Linked DNA regions of Astyanax mexicanus. The protein of the gene in region 2 interacts with the protein of the main gene of each other region in a biochemical or structural test. Links are inferred from orthologs where the notes say so. Each region holds a gene or a part of one and is shown on either strand. Other genes may lie near its edges.

Evidence for each region.
Region 1: the proteins of ncoa6 (region 2) and tgs1 form a complex in vitro, tested with the Homo sapiens proteins (2 studies listed by BioGRID). The link is inferred for Astyanax mexicanus from reciprocal best matches to the Homo sapiens genes NCOA6 and TGS1.
Region 3: the proteins of ncoa6 (region 2) and hnf4a form a complex in vitro, tested with the Homo sapiens proteins (2 studies listed by BioGRID). The link is inferred for Astyanax mexicanus from reciprocal best matches to the Homo sapiens genes NCOA6 and HNF4A.

What each region holds. Positions count from the first base shown.
Region 1 is NC_064411.1:37,313,004-37,321,353, reverse strand, and holds the start of tgs1 (trimethylguanosine synthase), read right to left. Parts: upstream 3,238-8,350; 5' UTR 3,135-3,237; exon of another isoform or gene 2,921-3,134; 5' UTR 2,899-2,920; coding exon 2,786-2,898; intron 2,140-2,785; coding exon 2,075-2,139; intron 1,979-2,074; coding exon 1,830-1,978; intron 708-1,829; coding exon 1-707. Other genes in the region: tmem68 (transmembrane protein 68), read left to right, coding at 6,854-7,181, 7,899-8,066. UniProt on the Homo sapiens protein: Catalyzes the 2 serial methylation steps for the conversion of the 7-monomethylguanosine (m(7)G) caps of snRNAs and snoRNAs to a 2,2,7-trimethylguanosine (m(2,2,7)G) cap structure.
Region 2 is NC_064420.1:49,309,526-49,317,275, forward strand, and holds the start of ncoa6 (nuclear receptor coactivator 6), read right to left. Parts: upstream 3,152-7,750; 5' UTR 3,030-3,151; intron 846-3,029; 5' UTR 804-845; coding exon 539-803; intron 1-538. UniProt on the Homo sapiens protein: Nuclear receptor coactivator that directly binds nuclear receptors and stimulates the transcriptional activities in a hormone-dependent fashion. Coactivates expression in an agonist- and AF2-dependent manner.
Region 3 is NC_064420.1:2,568,024-2,576,022, reverse strand, and holds the start of hnf4a (hepatocyte nuclear factor 4-alpha), read left to right. Parts: upstream 1-4,761; 5' UTR 4,762-4,804; coding exon 4,805-4,919; intron 4,920-7,999. UniProt on the Homo sapiens protein: Transcriptional regulator which controls the expression of hepatic genes during the transition of endodermal cells to hepatic progenitor cells, facilitating the recruitment of RNA pol II to the promoters of target genes. Activates the transcription of CYP2C38.

The DNA.
Region 1 (8,350 bases), on a different chromosome or scaffold from region 2:
CCATCACTGGGTTCATCTGCGCAATAACAATCCAAGCTCTGCCGGCTGTCGTTAAGATCACATTCACTTGTTTGTATGTTTAGAGCATCAAAACGTTCAGCAATGTTGGGGGAACTTACTTCTGGTGCACACTCTAGCATCCCTGAGGTCTGATCCCCACAGTCAGAGGACGGCTCATTCTTTTCTAGCTCCAGTTCTTTTCCGCCACACAGTTCATGCTGTCCATTATCACAAACAGAATCATCAGCAGCTTCAGTCAAACTGCAGGACTCATCTGCAGTCCAGCCCTGAGCAGCCCAGTAGTGGAACTGCTCCCAGTAACAGAGGTATGCCTGGCTGCTGTGCTCGTCCCAGGCCTCCTTCCACTCGGGACAGTCCCATGGAGCCACAGCCTCCTCACTAGAGAACTGGGGGTGTTTCTCCACCCAACCAGCCCACAGCAGGCTCTCTCCATGCAGCTGCCAGTACTTCTGCCATGGTTCCTCAGAGACAGCAGACTCTGGGTCAGCAGGGGTTTCTTGCAGCATCTCTGTAAGAACCTGTTCCTCCTCTTTTTCCTCCTCCTGATCTCTCTTATCGGAGACTGGCTCCAGCTGAGGCTCCAATCTTGCCTCCAGCTGTGGCTCCTGCTGGTCAGAGAGCATCTCATCGTGGTCATCGCTAATTTTCTTTGTCCCTCTGTGCGGAGAGTAGCCAGTCCACTTGTTCTAAGCAAAAAAAAACACATCATTCATTCAATCATTCACAATTAAGAGAGAACTTTTATGCATTTTCATGCAACAACTAGACCGGTCATGATAATTATCGACTTATCATATAAATGTGGACATAACCTCAAATTATTTTGCTGACCTCAATATTGCCCATAGTGTAATACAAGCATGATTAATGACAACAAATACAAAAACAGATGTTTTACATTGTGTTTACTTAATTTAGGATTTTTATATATTGTTTCACAAATCCAATGTTCCAATTCTTAAGTATTCTTAATAATCATGTTAATCAGGCATTGCTTTCACTCTCCTCCTGTCGACATAAAACTGAAGATACGATCAGGCTCAAATTAGGGGTGATCAAATTACAATTCAGTTGTCTACTACCAAGTTTCGGTTGCCAAAGCATCCCTAGTTATTTTACCCAAGTACTGAATACACTGGGTGCATTAGTTATTATCATGACATGTTGCATCTTTAATTTGTACAGACACCTAGTGAAAATTTAGTATTTCTTAAATCAGTTTTCTTTAAATGTTAGAATATACAGCTCTGAAAAAATAAGAGACCAGTTTCTTTAATTTTATCAAATTGAAAACCTCTGGAATATAATCAAGAGGAAGATGGATGATCTCAAACCAAGCAGAACTGCTTAAATTTTTGCACCAGGAGAGGCATAAAGTGATCCAAAAGCAGTGTGTAAGACTGGTTTTGCATTTTGGATTCATCATCTTGACAAACAACTGGAACTGCAGTTTTGGGGCTGCATGTACAAGAAGTTCACATGCTTGTGAAGGATCTCCAAGCTCATGTGAAGAAGAGAAGAGATACACGTTGCTGTTCTATGATGATTTACAATGAAAATTTTATCTTTCTACGTGTGCATTCATTGTGGACTTCAACCTTACTCTGCCTCGCTCCAGCTCCAGCCTCCTTACAGAACATGAGTACAGTTTGAGGTTGCTGTGTGAGGTGCTCCCTTTGTTGTTCCATGCAGGTAATACAGTATAAGTTTCTTGCAGTAATTATATAAAATAAATATAGAAAGTAAAAAAAGATTTATCTTACAGCCCTATGTCATATGATGCCCAAACACATCAGATAAACACTTACCGCTTTCCTCTGCGCAGATGAGCTGGCAAACGCTACCGGCAGACCCAAACTTGCCATAAGGAGCATCTCTTCATCCATTTCCACATCCTCCTCATCTTCAGAGTGGCTATATCCCTCATCATCAACATCCTCAACATTGTCTGTTAAATCTGAACAGTGGAAATAGAAATTCAATTCACAAATAAAGGATATCCAAGAATGGATTCTATCAAGCACACAGAAAGCCTTAGGTTGAAATGGCATACCATTCTGTCTGCTGTCTGTTAGAGCCTGCAGGGATCTAAAATCAGACCGATACAGTTCTCGATCACTGTAAAAGATAAGGATGTTATTAAATGATATTAATGTTAGACCAATCACAGTATTGGTAGATATATGTCTTAAATTAAAAAGACGACCAGACAGATATTTTCTACTATTTTGTTGATAAATATACAATATATATATATATAAGAAAAGCACAAATTACAATATCAACCCTCCCAGCTGAGATACAAAGTAGTCACAACATTGTCTACTGTCTTACAACACTGCTGCTACAATGTTGTCTAAATGTTGCTCTATCTACAGTATGAACTAAGTTGTCACAGCCTTATAATTAGGTAAGACTGTTTCTAACACTGTTTCTAAGTCATAAGACTACCTTTTGACAATTTTCAAAATTGCAATCATGTTTCATTTTCTAATAATAAAACACAACATATACCAAAATATACTATTTATTTTAGCTAGATAATATAGCTAGAGAACATTAAACGTGTAAATTTGTTTTAGTTACAGCATCCAAGCTTACTAACCAGCTAATTATCCTATATAATAGCTGACAAGTTGCTCTGAATGCAAATGGCTCTAAATGGCTGAAAACACACAAGTAAAGTAAAAACAAATAAATAACAGTTAGGTTAGCTAGATAAATAGTTTAAACAGCTGACTGATTAATTGATTAAGGGGCTTACTTGACAAAAGCTCTGGAACACAGGCAGTGTATGGTCATCTCGTCTAATACACCGTGGTGGAAAAATATATCAGCTATGGGAACAGCCTGAAATTTCCCATAATTAACCATCATCAACACTGAGCAACAAAAAAACCTGTGGAGGAAGGAAGGGGATGACAGTGATCCGCTAAATTATCTTAGTTAAAGTATTTAGTCTACATCTAGCTAAGCTAGCTAACCTATCTAACCTAGTTATCTATCAGCATTTATCACGGCTTCTGATTATCTAACTGCTTAATTTCTTATGCGCGGAACAAAATAGCAGCATTAGCATCAAGCTAAATAGAAAAAAAACGTAATCTACAAACCTAGGTTAACTAGCTATGAGTCGGACATATTAAAACAACACTAAAATAAAATAAACACAAACATCTAAACGTGCGTGTAGCGCTCAGTGTAGAGACCCACATGTTTTAGAACACTCGACAAATTAAAAGCCCCAGCTCTCACAAATTCCAATAATTGTAATAAAAAAAAAACCCATTAAATTACATTTAAAAAATATGGAAAAAAGTAAATAATGTCTAAAGCTTTAATCTATTAACATACCTTGAGCCGATTTCAAGCTACAGGTGTAGGTGATACAAAACCACTATTTCTGCAGTAAAACAACTTATTTTCATTCTTAAAATTCGAGGCCTTGAAATCTTCTACAGGAAACTTAGGCTGGATTTTGTCTGTTCACTTTCTACTCCACTTAATAATTCCAGATCAGTAACAGGAATCAACCCAAATGAAACTAAAAGTTTGAAGGACATTAACTGTTTGATTTGTATTTAGGAAAATCTTTATTTTACAATTAAGTTCAGAAAAGAGCCAATTCTATGATTTATTTATTATATTTTGACATAAGCAGATTTACTTAAATATTTTTATATATTTATATTTTCAATTATAATTACAAATGTGCTTTTCAGTAATGTTCCTTTTTTAAACATGAATGCTTTTATGTAATGCTTGAATTAAAATACTTAAGATTTAATGGTGTAATGTCAGGCAGACAATTGACAAAAATCCTGGCCTGTTTTTAAACAAAATTATACTAAACCTCAATTCAATTATTACTTTCACTCAAATACTTTTATTTTGAAATTCCTGTCTTCGTACGTAAAGAAAGCCGGGTAAGCAGGAAGGAGAAGAAGGCTGTAGCCGAAGCCCAAAAGCACTTGTGTGACTTTTATTATTGATGCAGCAGCACCATGTAGTAAAGGCTAATTCAGCTATGAAGGAGAAATAATAAGAGTCCGTGAGGTGAGTAAAGCGGATAATCGTGCTGTGCGCTGCTCTGTGTTGGAGGTGCAGGTGGAGGAGGTCTGTGTTTTGGCTGAGACCTGTCAGCTGAGACCTTCAGTATTAAGTGCTTCTTATTCTAATTCTCCGTTCCACCCTAAACCGTGTTGGTGGCGATAGCGGTTCTGCTCCCTGTTCAGGTACCAGAGTGGAACAGCTGACCCATTTAAGGTGGAACGAAATATTTTTGGAAAAGAAGCTAAAGCAAGCTTTATACCTGACAGTGAGCCAGATAGAGAGATAAGAGCCACTGTGTTATCTAGATAACTCAACTAGCTAAACCGGCTCTTTTTGTTTGTTTGTTTTTTTTTTCTCTCGAAATTTGACACTGAATAAAATAATCCAACCCACGCCTGTTTAAAATAGTTTAGATAGTGTTAACAGTGTTGATATTCACTTAGTACATTTTGACACAGAGTGCTAGCTTGCCAGTCCTATCGATGTTATTAAAAATAAAAAATGTAGACACTGTTCGTCAATCTAAATTACGTGGCAAAAGATAAAAACATATATGTTTTTTAATGTGTTTGGCTGAATGGGTCAGTGTAACGTTTAAGGTTTTATTTTATTGACTGTTCAAAGCTAAATGCAAAAATAGAAAATTTAAAAATAAGTTTTCATCCGTTTTTCCATTTTTTGTTATATTAATCTCTGCACCTCATAATTGGATTTTCAGGAAAAATGAAAAAAATCTTTATTTTCTGATTTTTCCATTTTTGCATTTTGCATTATACCATCAGATTTGTGTTACAAGATACAGAAATTAAAAATCTGAAAATCGAGAGTCAGAGTCAGCTTTTAATTTTTCTTGAAATTATTTTTGCCAAAGGCTGAAATGAAAAACTGTCTAATTAAAAAATGGGATGAAAACGCATTTCTTCTTCACTCTCCTGAAAAAAAAGAAAAAAAAAAGTTTTTTTAAGTTTTTAAATTTAGCTTGATACAGTCAGAAAATGAAACTGCTAAACGTTACACTGACCTGAATAAGTTTCAAGACGACATTTTTAAAAGTTTTATACAATATTGTGCTTGGTTGGTTTGTCTACTGGAATTAAAAAAATGTTCAGTGTTCAATACTTTTTAAATTGTAGTTAATATAAAGATATAAAAATACAGGCTTTAAGCTGTTTAGTTGATGCACATGTGAAAAAGAGTTTGTGGACCATCTTTCCAGGGCCCTAGTGCACATCTTTTATTTTTTAGATAGGCAAGAACAATGTGTAGGAAAACAAAGACCTCAGACAGAGAGAATATTTTATACTTCTGTCCTTCACCCAGTCACCCAGTCACAGTATGTCTGAAAATATCAATATAATATCAAAAATATTGTGATATTTTGTTGTGCAATACTTGATCAGTTTTTAATGAATTAAATTTTTTAATGAATGAATGAAAAATGTAGTCAAATGAGATCCTGATGTATGTTGTAGCTGGTGTGATACAACATAAACAAACAAAAATGAGTCCCAGTACAAAAATAGCTTTGCCAGTTTATTTAAAGGATCTTCCAGAGAAAACAGGGTTTTGGAATGCAGTGGCTAAGCTAACTTACAAACAAAGAAACATATTCACACAGTGATGTTTCAAATTCATATGATTTTTTTTTACCCATGGTTACATATAAATCACTCAAACAAATTAACCAGAGATCATAAAGTAAAACTGGATAGCATATTGATCCTGCTAAATATTGAATAAGATAAAATGCTAACTATTTATTTGATAAAACTAAAACACAGTATACTATAGGACAAAACTCTTATATTCTTACAAATAGTTTCCATGGTAAAGTTTAGATTAGTAGATTTTGTGTTTAAACCCTGCCCATTAAATATCCATGTCTTCAGTTCCCACTGATCTTATTAGATAAAAAGTAAACACAGCCTTAAAATAAAGACACAAAAAAAACATCAGCAACAAATTTTAACATACTATGGCTGGGCCAACTTGTTTATGCAATCAACATTATCACTGTTTACAGACACATGTAGGGATGCACCAATGTGGGAATACTGAGCAAATGTCTAATTTTACAATTTTAAAACAAAAAAAAAACTTACAGCTATCTTTTTTATATTTTAAAGTTGCACATCCAGTGTAGTAGTAAAACTAATAGTGTATTATACACTTTTAAGTGCACCACCATAAGAAGTGTGTTTGTTAATGTAGTGTGTAAAGTATAAAACTATGTGGTTTGGTACAGGAGCACAAATCCCCTTTAGAATTATGGATGAATTGGTTGTCATTGGTTAATTGACTAATTGAAAATAATTTATTTAAAGCAAATCCATTAACATCTAGATTAAATATAATGAAACCTAAATTTTTGTTTGTTCCATTTCTGTATATATTGTTCTGTCTGGTTTACATTTAAAATATTTTTTTTTATGCAGTTTGTTCATTTCAGAAAGGTAGAGTAGAGTTTTTCTCGTTGATTCCAGTCACATTCATTTTTGGAATCGAGCTGCATTCTTCTCAGAAAAGGTGGCAAATCTCACTCCAGTTAAGCACCTTTGCCAACTGGGCTGCTTATTGAACCAACATAGCTTTTCGATGACAACTAAAGGCCTAATTATTGGTAATATGATAGTCACAAAGGTCTTTGTGGTCTCTAAATGTTCTCTGCTTCTTTGTAGCCAATGTTTTTTTGCTTTCTGTGAACCCTAGGTCTGCCTGTAGGCAGGAGGTGCCCTTGTTCGACCTGGCTGCCACTGGGAGAGGGACCTACTGAAGCAGCATGTCTGATGAGAATGAGTCTTGCTGGTCAGGGAATGGATCTGTGGGTGTTCTCACCTGTCTGCTGTTGGCCTGGGAGGACTGGGCTGGCCTGGGAAATCTAGAAGACTACCTCAGCTTCCTGGAGTACTTACTCTGGGTCTTTACCCCGCTGGCCATCGTCTTTATCCTGCCTTTCCTCATAGTCATCTTCCTCTACCTGTCCATCCTCTTCCTCCACGTATATAAACGCAAGAACCAGCTGAGGGAAGCCTACTCCTATAACCTGTGGGACGGGGCGAGGAAGACTCTGGCCACTCTGTGGGACGGCCATGGTGCCATATGGCATGGTGTGTAATGTGTGGCTGAGAGAGGAGGAGGAGTGGCCTTCAGTTTTTTCTTTTTGATTAATTACTGATCTGATATGATTAAATCCAAGCCTAATACAAAAGGATTCAGTTCAGTTTATATAAATGTAACATGCATTGTTTAGTTCTCCAGTATGTAAAGACATCAGTGTTAGTCTAAAAACTGGTTATAGCAAATAGCAGTGTAAGAAAATATCGATATTGTATCGTATTACTGTTTTTTTGTTTTGCAATACTGTTTCGATATTTAAAAACACAAAGTACAAAGTACAGATTTCTAATTATTAGTTTAACATATAATGCTTAGTGGCAGATTCTAGTTTATTTTGTGTTGTGTTTAAACACAGATCACTAAAAGGCAGTGTTGTACTCTGTCGATAGATCCTGCTGGTTTGATTGTATAACAAGTAAGCTACCATTTTATTGAGATTTTATAAATATGATGTGTTTTTATACTATGACATTTTTTTTCTCCTAAATTTTAATTGAAACAATTGCAATATATCGCCTTCCTTACAGTATCACAACATATATCGAATCTTGCATTGTGATACGTATATGGTGATCTCACCAAGTTCTACAATACACAGTCAATACACAGCCCTTTATTAACAAAATAATATTATTATTGTTAACATCCAGAAATCCACACTTACATTCTTTGCCATTGGAAATAATAGTGATGTTTTTGTGGAACAGGTTACGAAATCCATGGTCTAGAAAAGATCCCAGACGAAGGCCCTGCCCTCATCGTCTACTACCATGGAGCGATCCCTATCGACTACTACTACTTCCTGGCGAGTCTCATCATACAGAAGGGCCGCACCTGTCACTCGGTTGCTGATCACTTCTTGTTCAAGGTCCCAGGTAAACAGATTAGTTCCCAATCTAGAGTGTTGTAACAATCTTATGCTCAAATACCCTTAATAATTCACTGTGGCTCAGTTCCAATCCCTGAAGCTATTTCAGTGTGTGCTGCAGAGTAGTGGTAGTAAACTGTATTCATTCAAATTAAAAGCAAAGTACTATTTTAACCTTATCTCATTGCTTGCGTACTATATGGTTGTTTTACACAGACAGTTATTTTCCTGTTCTCGGAAAAGAGCAGAGAACATATTGACCCAAAACGCACTTATAATAGAAGTCAGTGG
Region 2 (7,750 bases):
CTGCCAAGGAAACTCTTACTAGGAAGTGGTTATCACAGGTGTGTCCTACTCTAAATGCATGGATGGATATTATAATGGATATATATGAAATGGAGAAGATAACTGCTTTTATTAATCTTACAGTGAGACAATTCCTCTCAGACTGGAAAAAATGGGTCGAATATGTCACACCCCTTAGACCTGATTTCATATTCACAAACTAACTATATCTCTGTATAGATAAGATCACCCCCTGTATGTATAAAGTTTTGATATTGTGGGCACTATTTTTTTTATTTTCTTCTTGTTCTTTCTGTTGTTTGAGGGTGGGAAGGCGGGTACAAAAAAAAAGTGTTAAGTATGGGGACTTACAGAAATGTATGACCACTGTCTGTTTTTGATGTGTGTGTACGTGTACATACACACACAAAGATTTAAATGTCCCATAATGACACGTATGATTCTGTATGACAATAAAAACATAATAAAAAAAAAAAAGAAATATATATAGGTTATTGAAAATGAATTCAAGACCAGAAACAATCCGAGGTGCCCTCACCCAGGGAAAGCATCGGGGGCATCTCGTTCAGAATGGCATCCAGCTTCTCCTGAAAGTCAGCATCGTCCAAATTTCCTTTAAAAGCCACAAAGATGGTGGTGTCCTCCTCTCCACGTGGACTCGGGGAGCGAGCCGGGCTGCGATCGCCATGATCACTGCAGACGTCGTCTCCATCCTCCAATGCGGAGTCGTGCTCGGCTGTTAAACCAACCCCAGGAGATTCTGTGCAGCAGGAGAGCTCAGACACGCTGCGCTGCTGCGCCATGGCTCTTATTAAAGAGCTCGGTGGTCTAATGCAGCTCAGTTACTGTTAGAACAAAAAACAACAGACCTTTTTATATAAACAACAAACAAATTAAATGCTTTACAACTGCAAATAAAAACAAGGTATCTACACCAATAAGGCACACTACATCCAAAGAAGTCAGATCCTAAATTAGTGTTTGTTTTTTTAATACACCATAGCAACACCTTAGCAACACCATTGCAACCAACAGGATATAACAGCAACACCTTAGCAACCACTTAGCAACACCATAGCAACCACCCACGAATCAGCACTGCAAACACAATCACAGTTTCTGCAGGAACTGCAATCTAGTTGCTTTTATTATTAGTTATGTTCTTCTTAGGTCAAAGTACATAATTTGCATGGGTTAACATAAGAAAAACTCTAAAAATTCATTGTCTAAGAAAACTAAGAAAACTTAGACTATTTTTCTCTGTTTCTGTCTTATTATTGTCATTTTAATTACACCTTTTACAAGACCTAATCTTTAAATTAGGGATGCACCAATAAGGAGATTATTTCATGATGCCAATATACTTATTAGTAACTTACAATAGAGACTATACACCATAGTATAACTTGTGTCTAGGCCTGTCAGGATATTTACATTATCGACTTACTAATACAAATACAAACAGTGAACAGTATTTTACTCAGTCATGACTGTAAAAGGTGAAGAATAAACTATATATTTTCCAAAATATATGATTAATGAAAAATATGCTGTGTTTAAAAGGTAATGAATGATTTGTTATACTATTATATTATCATCATGTCAGTGACATTTAGCTAAAAATCTTAAAATGGCAATATTATCATTTATCGGCATAGTTACTGGGACGATATATTGTCCACAAATTCCTCTGATTATTTACTAGCTAGGTAACACAAGCTAGCCCTAAAACTAACACAAATATAACCAACTAGCTAACTAAGCAAATTATGAACGTGCAGCTTAGCAATTTCACATATTTTTCTTTTTATGTTTTTAAACAAAGTCAACATTTTAGCTATTCATGTCATTGTAAATCTCACAAAAAAAGAATCACATAATTGTTGATATTAGGGTCATCAAAAATGTCTGTTCAAGACTGGATAAATCAATAATATACAAACTTATGCCTATACATTTGTACAAATCTATACCTCATCTATCTTGTACCAGTATCTTATTTAAATAAAGTAATGTAATAAAGTAAAATCTGTGTTTTTAAACAAAGTGGACATACACGATCATTGACATTAATCAAGGGTCTCTTCGATAAATCAATTAATTGTGGTTGTGTTCATATACTGTAGGAGAAGAAGTCTATAATGGAATTATTTTGACAGACCTAGACCTGACCCCAATCATATTTAATAATGGTGATCTGGTTTATAATAGTGATTAATGTGTATGTTTGTTCACATGTATAATGATGAACAGTATTTTAGCCAGTCATGCAGACAGAATGAAGAAGGTAAATAATAAACTATAACTAGCTTATATTTCCCAAAATTTATGATTAACAACGAATATGTTGTCTTTAAAGGGCTATAAGTGCTGTTTTATGCTATTATATTATCATTATGTCAGTGATATTTAGCTAAAGGTTCTAAAATAATCAAATATACAATAATATTGTTTATCGTAATAGTTTCTGGAACGATATATCGTCTAGAAAATATTGTTATTGTGACAGGCCTACGATTATTTAATAACTAAGCTAGATAACACAAGCAGCACTGAAACTAATACAAATATAACTACAGTTATACAGTAAACTAAGCGGATTATAAACATGTAGCTCAGCTAACATAGCTATTGTACACATTTCCAGCTCTGGTGTTTTAGTTATTAAATAGAAAATAGTCTCTAATTCGTCTCTAAACGCTTTGAATTCGCTGCAGAATTAAATTCAATGTATATTTTAACGGAGAAAAACGAATTAAACCCGCTCGCGCTGAGCTAACTAACGCTAGCTAACCTAGCTAAACACAATTAGCATCGATGGCTAACTAGCTCAGCTACCTATGCTAAGCTAACCGCTAGAATCTCGTTCACTGAAGCGGCGGCGGCTAACGGAGTTAGCTTAGCTGTGCTAACTAGCCAGGCTAACCATCAGAAATGCCTGTAAACTTCTGGCTAAAACCGTATTTAACCGTGTTTGCATGCCAGAACCCGGCGGTATCGATTATCAGAAGTGCAGTAGAATGATTTACCTTGATCAGTCCATTGGTAAATCGATCCGAATTAATGGTTATTGTGAATTTAGGGAGCTAGCGCGCAAACCGAGCGCGTAGCAGAGCGATCGAGCTTCTCCTTAAACCGAGCGAGCGACTGAGCGAGGCGTATTCACAAAGAAAAGTGCTAAGCTGCGCAGCGTCTACAGCTTAAACTGCTACGTAACTTGCGTAGAGAAGATGATTAGATAGATAGATAGATAGATAGATAGATAGATAGATAGATAGATAGATAGATAGATAGATAGATAGATAGATAGATAGATAGATAGATAGATAGATAGATAGATGTTTTTAATAGGTTGGCATGAGTAGGGGTGGGCGATATGGCTTTAAAATAATATCACGATATTTAATGGTATTTTTGCGAAAACGATACGCTACACTTCTGAAAAATGAAAATTAAATTTTACTATTGCACACTCCAAATTGAGACATTAAACAATACAAGAATCAATGATCCAGAATGTTATGGTACCAATAATGCCCTATACTGGACAGATATAATCTTGTCTCTAATAAATATACAATGGGAAATGAGAACAGTGTGAATTTTTCTTTTTGCAAAAAACAGTAAAAAAAAAGTAGAACCCTGATGTGATAATTAGGGGTGGGTGATATGGCACGATATTTCAGGGTATAATATCGTTCACGATATTTAATAATGTTGGCGATATTATTGGATCTGATACGATATGGCAAAATCCTAGTCATGAGATAATTAGGAAAGGAGTGGCCAATTGTGCTTTCTCAGGGCTCCAGCCACTGATGGCAAGTTTCATTACTGGGAACCGGAACCAGCGATCTCCTGATTATAGTGGCAGCGCTTTAGCCTGCTGGACCACTCGGTGCCCACATAAAATAATAATATTTTAGCAAATGAATGAAGTGAAAAGTGAAAGCCAATCGTGCACAGCATACTCTTAACTGGAAACCACCGTCAACCTGGAGGTTTCCGGACGAAACCCACACAGAAACGAGAAGAACATGGAAACTTCACACAGACAGGGACTAAAACCCAATACCCCAGCCCCAGAGTAGAACATCCCAACCACAAAGCTCAATAGCATTATAATACATTTACATTGTTTTAAAGAGCAATGAAACTTTAATGCTCAATAATATAAAGACATTTGTACTGTTTTTTTTATATATTTTAATCCAATTGACACAACACGTACTATGGATTAAGGTTCCCATTTTCTGCTCCCTAAATATTCAGTTTTACTGGCGTTTTATTCCGAACTGTGTGCTGCCAAACATGGAAGAGGAACTTAAAAATACTTAAATAGGATGCTCACAGATTTTTATTTATTATTTTTTTTTGTTCTTGTTATTGAAACGTTCACTGTGTGCGCTTTGAATGAAGGAGATGTAAAAACAACACAACCGACATTTGTGATACTCTTTGGAAAATATTAAATAATTTTTTTTAGAAATGTTTATGTATCATTTATATTACGGTATTGATTGAGTTATTCTTTAAAAACTAATTTGTGAATAAACAAATTATTACAGTGTCTGCCTAATATATAAATTTGGCAATTTCAGTTATGGGTGTAAGAAGGAAAATGCATGATAAAAAATAAATATGGGTAAATTAGGGGTTTGCAGTGATTTTATAATTTTATAAGTGGTAATAAAACAGTTTACACAAATCCTCCTTATTGTGCTTAAAATTATTTTCAGGTTTAATTTTTTTCCACCTAAATTATTTGTATGATTTTAAACTGTTATTTCTCAATGTTTTCCTGTAGTTATCAGTCCATATGTCAGAGTTGCGCATTTTGAGCTTGTGTACTCTTTTAACAGCGTAAACTGCTACGCAATTTGCGTAGGGACAGAGGCTGTACGCGGCTCTGATTGGCCGAGGGTCTATCATCTTTCGGGGCTGCGTCCCAAATCGCTCCAGGCTCTGAAGGGCAGTAAGCTGTTGTGTAGTGTACAACGTAGGTCTCACAACAATTGTACAGTATAAATAAATATAAACTGACTCTAAATGAATCATTCAGGACAGATTTAACTAGTTTTAAACTACATAATGGTGTAACAACTTGCAGCTTTTTAAAATTTTTATGTTTTTCTATCTAGTACACTAATAGTAGTAGAGCACTAAGGAGTTTTGAGCCGTTTGGAACACGACGTCATTGACGTCCATTCGTAAAAGCCGTGTTCTGAGTGGCGTCCCTGGCTGTGTTCCAATTTGCGAACCTGCGCACTACACTAGTGCATCTCAAAAAATTATAATATAATTGAAAAGTAACTTTATTTTAATAATTCAGTTGAATATAGATGTATTAAACACAAAGTGATATACTTTAAGTGTTTATTTCTTTTATTGTTGATGATTATGAAGCTTACAGCCAATAAAAACCCAGAAATCAGTGTCTCAGAAAATCTGAATATTATATAAAACCAATTGGTACTTTTGGCAGTGTGGGCAGGGTGCCAGGTCCTGCTGGAAAATGAAATCTGCATCTCTATAAAAGTTGTCAGTAGCAGAGGGAAGAAGCATGAAGTGCTGTAAGATTTTGTGGGAAAACAAAACTGCACTGACTTTAGACTTGATAATAAAACACAGTGGATCAACACCAGCAGATGACAGACATGACTCTCCAAACCATCACTGATCATCAGTAAATTTTACATTTCATTTAAAGTAAATCAAGGGAGCAGAGTCTGGAGGAAGAGTGGAGAGACACACAGTCCAAACTGCTCGAGGTCTAGTGTGAAGTTTCCACCAATCAGTGATGGTTTGGAGAGACATGTCATCTGCTGGTGTTGATCCACTGTGTTTAATTATCAAGTCTAAAGTCAGTGCAGTGTATGTGTATAATTTCAGTTGTTAATACAGCTGACTATCTGTATTATGATTAGGGATTTGGGTGGGCACATACTAAAAGCCTTTCAGAATAAAAAATAAAGAGAACATTTTCTTCAGTTCAGCAAAAAACTTTATTTGTGGTGTTGTGAAGAGCGGAGATTTCTGTAGTGTACAGACTAGCGGACACAAGGCGTTGATAAATAGTTCAGTAGAGCAGTAACTGTGAACGCAAAGAAGTACTGGAACTGTCTGAACAGAAGAATAATTACAAGCAAATTACCATTACACCTTATTATAAACATTTTTAATGTGCATCTGCTCTTAATTAGGCACACACACACTTTATACAAAAAAAGCTGTCACTGTGCAATAAGGAAGGCAAGGAATCAGGCAGGATTAGTCGACTAGCTGTGACCAAAAATGCATCATATGCTTTTAGGGCGTTTTCACACCTGCACCCCCTTTTTGAATTCAGTTAATTTGGAACCTGTTTCATTTTCCTTCTTGAAGCAATTTGTTCGGACGGCTGCAAAACTTCTGTCAAAGGCAGATATGTAAACGATTACAGGCGTAAAAGTGCTTCTTCTACTGCCCTATAAAAAGAGTCTTGGGGGCTACTTTTGGGTAGGAAGTGCACCTCCCAGTGAGAGTTCCTTGACTGCTGGATATGCCTCTATGATGCCATCAAAGATAAAAGGTGGGGCTTCTGGGAGATTAAATCAAATAAATAAATTAAATTGATTCGGAAAAAGATTTGATCATGTGAGATAGATAGAAACATTTATGGGCAGTCTAAAATGCTGCCACTATGATCGGGAGATTCCTGGTTCGAATCCCGGTCATGCAGCTTGCCATCAGTACAACTGGCCTTGCTCTCTCTGGGTGGGTACAGTAGATTGTGCTCTCTCTTTCCCCTCATCACTCCTAGGGTGATGTGGATCAGCACAAGGCTGCGTCTGTGAGCTGATGTATCAGAACCGAGTCGCTGCGTTTCCCTCCGAAATTGGGAAAAAAAACAGAAGAAAATCTAAAATAAATTAAAAAATAAATAAATAATACATTTAAGAAATGTTTAGGGGACAAAACATTTCCCATTCGTTTGCAGAAGTGAAGTGTCATGAACGGGGAACCAGGACAACTACAGGCTTCAACTGTATCTTAACTGTGTCTAAAGCGACGAATTTAGGTGCAATTCTGAGAAGGCATCACATTTTTCAGATGTATACCAGATTTATTACCAATCCGGCATTGATTTTAGAGTAGCTGGGACGCTGCAGCTTCAGCTTCAACCTATACGAGTGTAGAGGAGCTACAGGATCTACAGGCCCAGCTGTAGCAGCAACATCTGTGCGTAAATGTGCTGCAGGATCCAATCAGAACCTGTAGAACCTCCTCCAAGCCCAACCATCTCAATCTCTCTCATCTTATATCCAGAATAGAGGATCCAACAGAGTCTAAACTAGAGGCTCATTTCAGTTACAGAACAGATTTACTCTAATAAACTCTCTAATATATCATTACAATCACTCACCAAATTCAAAAACTCAAACCAACTACAGGTGTGAAAACTCCCATCAATAGCTGAACACGTGACGACACTGCATACAAAAGTGTAGCATTTTATATTTTTAAGCAGGGTCAGTGGTACAGTGTTCACTGGTTGTGTAAATATGAAAAACAACAATAATCATATTAAATAAATCTGTGAGAAAATCAAGTCTAGGGTACAGTAGCATCATCAACAAATAGAAAAAGAATAAAAAAAAGAAAACTTAAATTAAAACTATAAATGTGCAAATGTTCACAAATCAATTGTTGCACAAATGTTACTATAAAACAACAAAATATTCAAATAACAAATTAAATCAGACAAAAA
Region 3 (7,999 bases), about 47 Mb from region 2:
ATATACAGGACTAAATAGCTGTAAATGGCTGTAATTTGTCATTATGAATAATCTGGAAATGAAAAGTCTGGTTTATAAAGGTTAGCCTGGGTTACCGTGAGGCTTTTCCCATGTGATACATGTAGCTAACGATCTCTCCATTTATCTGGATCTACCTGGATTGAACACTCTGACTTGGCATGTGACGGAAAGAGCCATAACCTTGTGGATTAGATTTTATAGAGCCGTGGAGGCCGTTCACAGGGCTCTTGAGATTTAGGCTACGATAAAGACTTTAATGGTAAGCCAGATAAGATTTGCAGAACGTGAGTCACTCCTCACTGTTTCTGAGGCCAGAACAAATCTCCTGAGCAAATAAGGAGATGAGGAAGAGATTCCCAAAGACACGTTAAAGTTAGAGTTAGCACCTTAGCACTTGCTTAGATTAGACAGTTTACTTGAATTTCTTGCATCTTAATGTGCACAAAAAAGCAAAAGGCACTTTCAGAAATAAATCTATATATATAAATATATATGTATAATGAGACCACTGAAAAATGATGAGTTTCTTTGATTTTACCAAATTTAAAACCTCTGAAATATAATCAAAAGGAAGATGGATGATCACAAGCCATCAAACCACCAAACTGAACTGCTTGAATTAGTTTTGCACCAGGAGTAAAGCAGCATAAAGTTATCCAAAAGTAGTATGTAAGACTGGTGGAGGAGAACATGATGCCAAGATGCATAAAAACCAGGGTTATTCCACCAAATATTAATTTATGAACTCTTAAAACTTCTCAAATAAACATTTTCTGTAAATAAATGCTCTAAATTGCAATATTTCTATTTAGAATTTGGGAGAAATGATGTCTATATGTTCATTTTACTCAAATATAAACCTATAAATAGCAAAATCAGAGAAACTGATTCAGAAACTGAAGTGGTCTCTTAATTTTTTTTATCTATATCTATCTAAAATTTATCATTTATGATCATCATGTTAATAATAACTAAAACACACAAAACACATAAACAGGATTAGTCTCTTATGCATATCTAAATTATCAGTTGTCCGGCAAGTAAGTTCAGGTGTTTTCCAAGCAATTCTAAACAATACTGTACAGTAAATATAGTCTGCATAGTGTCCAGGGGGATCTGCAGAGCCATATAAATCAAGATCTTATCAAAAATGTTTTTACAAGCTAATCAAGATATTCCCATACTGACAAAAAATCAACCTAATTAGTAACCATTAATAAACTAATTGTAAACCATTTATAAACCCTTTATAAAGGTAGTCTTATTTTAATGTGGTATCGGATTTATTTTTAATTAAATGTACATGTCTTTTAGTAGTGATATACAGTAATTAATGGCATAATTCATACACATTCATTTGAGTTTGCGAGGCAAAAAAATTGCTATTGATAAAAAATACTATAAATTTATAATGTAATGTAAAAAAAAAAAATTAAGATCTAATGCATACATTTTAAATCAATAAATCAATTCAAATCTTAAGTCACTTTTAGCCTAAATTTGTATTTCTAAGTTTTGGATCTAAGTATTTTAAATCTAAAAAAAAAAAGTTATATGTTATATGTTATATATGAACTTTAAACAGTAATTTTCACCACTTTCAAAGTCAAAAAACAAAAAATCTTAGATAAAATTCTAATTTATGAATTACCACATATGTGTGTATATATATATATATATATATATATATATATATGTCACATTTTCCCAGTATATACAATACAGATCCAATACTTTGTCAGTTTTAAGCTCCATATCTTAACTGTAACTGCCTGTAAAATGTGTTATACAGTAAATTAAGTTGTTTAGCCTGGTTAAAAGAGGTTTTACTGCGTGTTTAGAGAGTTTACTTGGTCACCGTTTTGGGCAGCTCCTGTCCTCGTGCAGGCGTGTGGGTGGATGAGTGGTAGGTAAAGTTTTACTGTCCTGGTGGCCGTATGAACCGGAGAACGTTGACCTGTGGCTTTGTACTGTCACTTTCCCTTCTTCAAATATCTCCTGGGCTGTGTTTGCCTTGGCTCTGATGTGTGCGAGCTTGCTCCACTTGTTTACGTAAATGCTCCAATGCTTTACTTTTGGTTTTCCCTCAGATAACAAACATAACCTGCGTGTTAGCATATCAAATCAAATCAAATCAAGGTTTATTTGATTTATTTCACATGCAAAAGTCGTGAAATACCTGCTTATTTGTGGTTTCTTATGTAATCAATCATATTAAAGGCGAAATCCTGTGTAAAATTGACTTTTTGTTGTAGTAAAACTTGATAAAAAAGTTCTTACTTTTGATGATTAGCACACCTCCGTTCTCCCACAGCGTTCAGAGATCCAGAAATTGTAACAGTTTGTCCAAAAACCATTCAGATTGGGCGTCACGGGGCATAATAATTTGCCCCGATAAATTGCTTTTTACACCGTTATTCAAGCTCAAAGTAGCTCCACACCTCCTTGCTAGAATAAAAAAGTGCACAAGAAGCTTATTAAAAAATATAGACTCTGGAGTCTATGTATAATGTATATATATGTATATATGTCTGTCATTATCAGTACAGTGATGGCGGTGCTCTGAGCTGAAGCTAGCATTATAGGATGTAAACAGAGGTTTTTAAGAGTTTTTTTTATATGATACCATTAAATTATTAAAGAAGACTTTCTATACTATCAATGTTATGAATATCAAGTTATATTACTGTAGCATTTCGGACTAATTGGAGTAAAAATGGAGTAGGCCTATTCGGTTTTGCGTAAACCAGAGTTTGGAGCCCAATAAAACCAGCAAATTAAACTTGTATCAAATGACATCATGAAATGCTAGAAGAACCCTTTACAAACTATCAATGTTATTAGTATCAAGTGATTTTACTGCAGCATTTTAGAGTAATGCGAGGTCAAACTTTGGAAAAGTGCCTATTCGGTTTTGCACAAACCAAAGTTTGGAGCCAAATAAAACCAGCAAATCAAACTGTTATCAAATGACATCATGAAATCCTAGAAGTACAATTTACATGATATCAGTTGTATGAGTATTAAGTGATTTTACTGCAGCATTTTGGAGTAATGGGAGGTCAAACTTAGGAAAAGTGCCTATTCGTTTTTTTCCTAAACCAGAATTTGACACCACTCTATTTGTTTTAGACACAAATATCTGAAATTCACAATTATGAAAGCTGTTTGTTTTCTTCTAAGGGAAGAATTATGGGTGGGAAATTCTCATGTTAAAATGAAATGTGACTGTTTTCACTACATGAACCCACACAGCCATCATAAGCAGATTTCAGCCGAATCGTAATTAAAATACAGAGAACATGTACTGTAGGCTTCTTAAAGGAAAATACAGAAATGTTCTTCAGGATGTATTATATTACGTGGCCACAGAATCAGATTGAGAGCCAGCCAGCCTGATTTTCATGCTTAAATGATGTGTTTGCTAAGTCTCTGTTAATTCTTGCACAATAAACAACAGCAGTGACTCTGAGTAGCTGGAAAAATGCTGACCTTTATGTAAAAGAACTCTTTGTTCTACAGAAAACTCAAAGTTCCAACTATAGAGAACAGAATGGCCAACATTTATACTTTATGCCAAATTTAGTCATAACTAAAAACTGCAGTTTTGGGTGAAAAGTCGAGTCGCTGCTGCTGTACTGGATTGAGTACAGGATTGAGTCTTAAATATGTAGAAAGCTGAAGTACCTACAGAAGAAATTCCCCATCAAATACAATACAGACAAGACAAAAATAAACGACCACTTAAAAATTATTAGTTTCTTTGATTTTAGCTAATTGAAAACCTCTGGAATATAATCAAGAGGAAGATGGATGATCACAAACCATCAAACCACCAAACTGAACTGCTTGAATTTTTGCACCAGGAGTAAAGCAGCATAAAGTTATCCAAAAGCAGTGTGTAAGACTGGTGGAGGAGAACATGATGCCAAGATTCATAAAAACCAAGGTTATTCCACCACATATTGATTTCTGAACTCTTACAACTTTATGAAAACTTTATGTTTTCTTTGCATTATTTGAGGTCTGAAAGCTCCATAGCGCTAGATACGTTAGATCTCTGGGCGCCGCCATCACTGTACTGATCATGACTTAACTTTAAGCCCAGAGATGCACAGCATCTAATGCTACAAAAGAGTTGTAAAAAGTGGTTTTAATATGTTTTTCATGCACTTTTAAAGGTATTAATGCCTCGTTTTATATTTCAGAGCTCTCCAGATTTTACCAATGAGGTGTGGAGCTACTTTGAGCCTGGATAACGGTGGAAAAAAACGATTTATCGGGGCAAAATATGCCCTGAAGCGGCTGTTGTAAAGAGTGCTGGGCTTATAAGCACAAAATTACTGGGTCTTGGAAAGCTGTGGGAGAGCGGAGGTGTGCTATTCGACAAAAGTCAACTTATTTAAGCTTTTTTGCTTTTTTGATAAAATCTGATATTAAAAAGAGAGAAAGAGAGACTCACAGAAAGAGAGAAAGAGAGAGAGAGAGAGAGGCCTTGTTCATCTCTATCTCTAAAAAAAACAATCCATATTAAGCACTAAAGAAAAAAAAGCCAGACAATGATTAACCCAAGGGCCACCCCGCTCCAGAACTGGGGCCGTGGCCGAGGGGGCGGGGTCTGACCTGTCAGTCAAAGTCAGCCTCATCTTTGCCCCAGAGGACATGTCCCGTGTCACTCAGAGGTGTCTACCTCTGCGAGGGGCGGGGCTTGCTCTATGAGAGGGGGGGGTCCGGACTCCGGCGAGAGGACAAGTCTTTCCCCTCAGTGTCAGGCTAGCTGAGAATGCGTTTGTCCAAAGCTCTAGCAGACATGGAGATGGCAGACTATAGCGAGGCCCTGGACCCAGCCTACACCACCCTGGAGTTCGAGAACATGCAGGTGCTCGCCATGAGCACAGGTGAGTCACCCTGCAGACAAAGTTCAGGTCCCGGGCTGAACTTTGAGTCCTGAGACTTTTTATATAGGCTGGAGAATGTTTGGTCAAGCGTAGGATGATGAGGTTGGTTTAATGGGTTTTGGGCTGGTTTATAGACTTTATAGATTCCTTATACATTCCTTAGAGATGCCTCTGGATGGGATGACCTGTTTAGAACAGTATGCTTTATACTGAGTTATATTTATTATTTTATACTCTTATTTTAGTGTTTATACTGCCAACTTTTTTTTAAAAACAGGAGTTTTTAAAAAGTTTAATGCACTGGAGGAACCCAATAACCACAATAAGAATAAAGTGCTGTGAAATTTATAGGACTTTTTAGAAGAAAATGTTCCTTAAGTCACCTTTAAACACCACAAAATTATATTAATATATGATATTATGCATACACATATGCTTAGCCCAGTCCTGAAGTTGCTTAAAGCAGAACTCCAGTGTAAAATTAAAACTTTTCAGTGTAGTTAAACATGATAAAGAGTTTTAAACTTTGTTTTAAAGCCCAACAGCGCTCTTCTACAGCTTTCCAAGATCCATCAAATTTGTGCTTTTTTGCCCAGAACTCTTTACAACGACCGCTAATGGGGCATCCACTTGCCCCTGCAGATAAATCTTTTTTTTTTAAACAGTTATCCAGCTCAAAGTAGCTCCACACCTCATTGGTTGAATAGGAACATTGGTAGAAAACGCCTGACATTAAAAATGTGCACTTTTAAAGTTATCATTGCCTTGTTTTAAATGTCAATGGCTCTCCAGAAGGTCTTTCAGAAGGAAATGTTCCCAAGCTTTCCTAAAGCATTTTCCTCAAAGCATCTTTCAGATCTTGTAGATTCCCTAAAAGTTCCCCAAGGTATAAAAATGAAATGAAGCAAGACAGGATTAAATAAGCAAAGAACTAAAGAACTGAAGATCTGAACTGAGAGTCTGGAAGCTTTGGGAAAGATGAAAACTGCAAGCTCTGTCTTGTTAGGTGGACAGGCTCATCTTTCATTCCGTGTCAAAGTTACACCACTAAAAGTCCCACTGTGATTCCGTCCAGCTCCCTTTACCCTCCGCTTTCTTTGGTCGGTTGAGGATAAAATGTCTCTTCAGGGTTGAGTTTCCAGAGATAGCTGACAGCTAGATAGATGGACATCAAGCGTAGAAGATGTTGTGGAAATACTTCACAGCTTAGTTTCCCATGTCTGAACGTCATGAGAAACTGACTCGATTATATAAGTATCTGCAAAATCTGTTAAATAAGTTAAAAAAGTACCAACAATTCATTTCTTAGCCTTTCTTCTTTTAAGGTGCTTGAACATCTGGATGCTCTGAGGAACTTTAATGGGGTTTTAGGGCTGGAAAATATATTATTAATTTATTATAATGAAATATTTGCATATATTGCACTATATCGAAAGATTGCTTTGATGCTTTGCTGGTTAAAATATGTGTTTATTATGGATTAATAAAAAAAGAAATAATAATATGCATTGATTGTGCAACGTGGAAACGGTTTGGTTCCCAAAGAAATGATACTCAAATGAGAGTAGTCTTGTAAAAATAATGTAATTTAATGACATCACACTTAATTGTTTTTCACGTTAAATAAGTAAGTAAATACTGATACTTTTCTCTCGATCAGTATGATGTCAGCAATTTAAAACTCCTTACTTTATGTTTATTTGATGAATTATCAGCACTTGTATCATTATTATAATGGTATAATAGTATTACATAAGTATTTAAAGTGTTGTGTCTATTTTAAGTGTTAAGTTAGGGGGCGTTTAGAAAAAGACCTCAACATGTGTTGAACATTACCACAAAAATGTGTGTAAAAAAATTGATATTTCATATAAAACAGCCTTAATAACAAAGACATTGGGATTGAAACATTTGAAACATTACATTTTTTACATATTCATTGAATTAATCACTTTATAGGGGATTTTAAACACTATATAGGGTCAAATTGACCCCAAAGATAATACGAGATTTAATCATATATATACTTAAGTCCAGAACTACTGGATTTACAGTGATTTCTTAGATGATTAGTTTTTAATTAGGCTACGAATGATGATTTAATTGAGTTTAATTACTCTGGTTCCCAATCCTCTCACACTGCTGTTGTTTTCTCCCATTCAGATAATCAGTCAATCGCAAATCAATCAACTGAAACATCTACACATCTATCGTGCTTCCCTTTGATCATCTTTGATCAAGTACTTTGGTTTTAATGGGTTTTAAGCACTTTTTAAGACTATTACATCGAATAAGACGTAATAAGAACATATTACACTTAATATTATACAATTAATTAATCATTGAATCAATCAAGCTGAATTTGTATTTGTTTTTCGATAAATCATGTTAAAATTCAAAGTGCTTCACAAGAAAATAAGAAATATTCTAAAAATTCCAAAAAAATGGAGATGGATAAAAAGAAGGATAGTAAAATAATAGAAATAAAAATTAAATAATACAGTTAAGATAATACAAACAATAAAAACAAAGATTAAGAAATTAAGTATTGCATTAAGTAAATTTTTCTTAATTTTTTAATTTATTTAAAATATTCAATTTTATCAGTAATAAAATAGCAAAAAATAAAAAAGAGAATAAAATAAATATTTAATAATAATTTTAACTAATACAATCCAAAAATACCATCTGTAAAACTATTTAAAAATCTAGACTGAATGAATATAATATAATATATTATAATATTTTAATTTGCATTTTAAAAATTCTATTGGTTTAAAGTGTAAAAAAACAGCTTCATTAACCAAAAGCATTTTTGATTATATATATATAAACTTATAAACTTATAAAATATAGTTAAAATCCATTGAATAAGCTAAGAAGTGGTCATTTAAAAGACTTTAAATAGGTGTAAATTTTGCTCTTCCTTCAATATTTTGAGATACTCAGCAAAAAAAATTGTATTTACAGCAGCAGGATTGAGGCCTATGTTATGGATTATGTTAATAAGGCATGTTAATTCAGTTAATTCACTCGAGCTGTATTTATTTCAGATGTCCGTCTCCGTGTTTTCCAAGTCA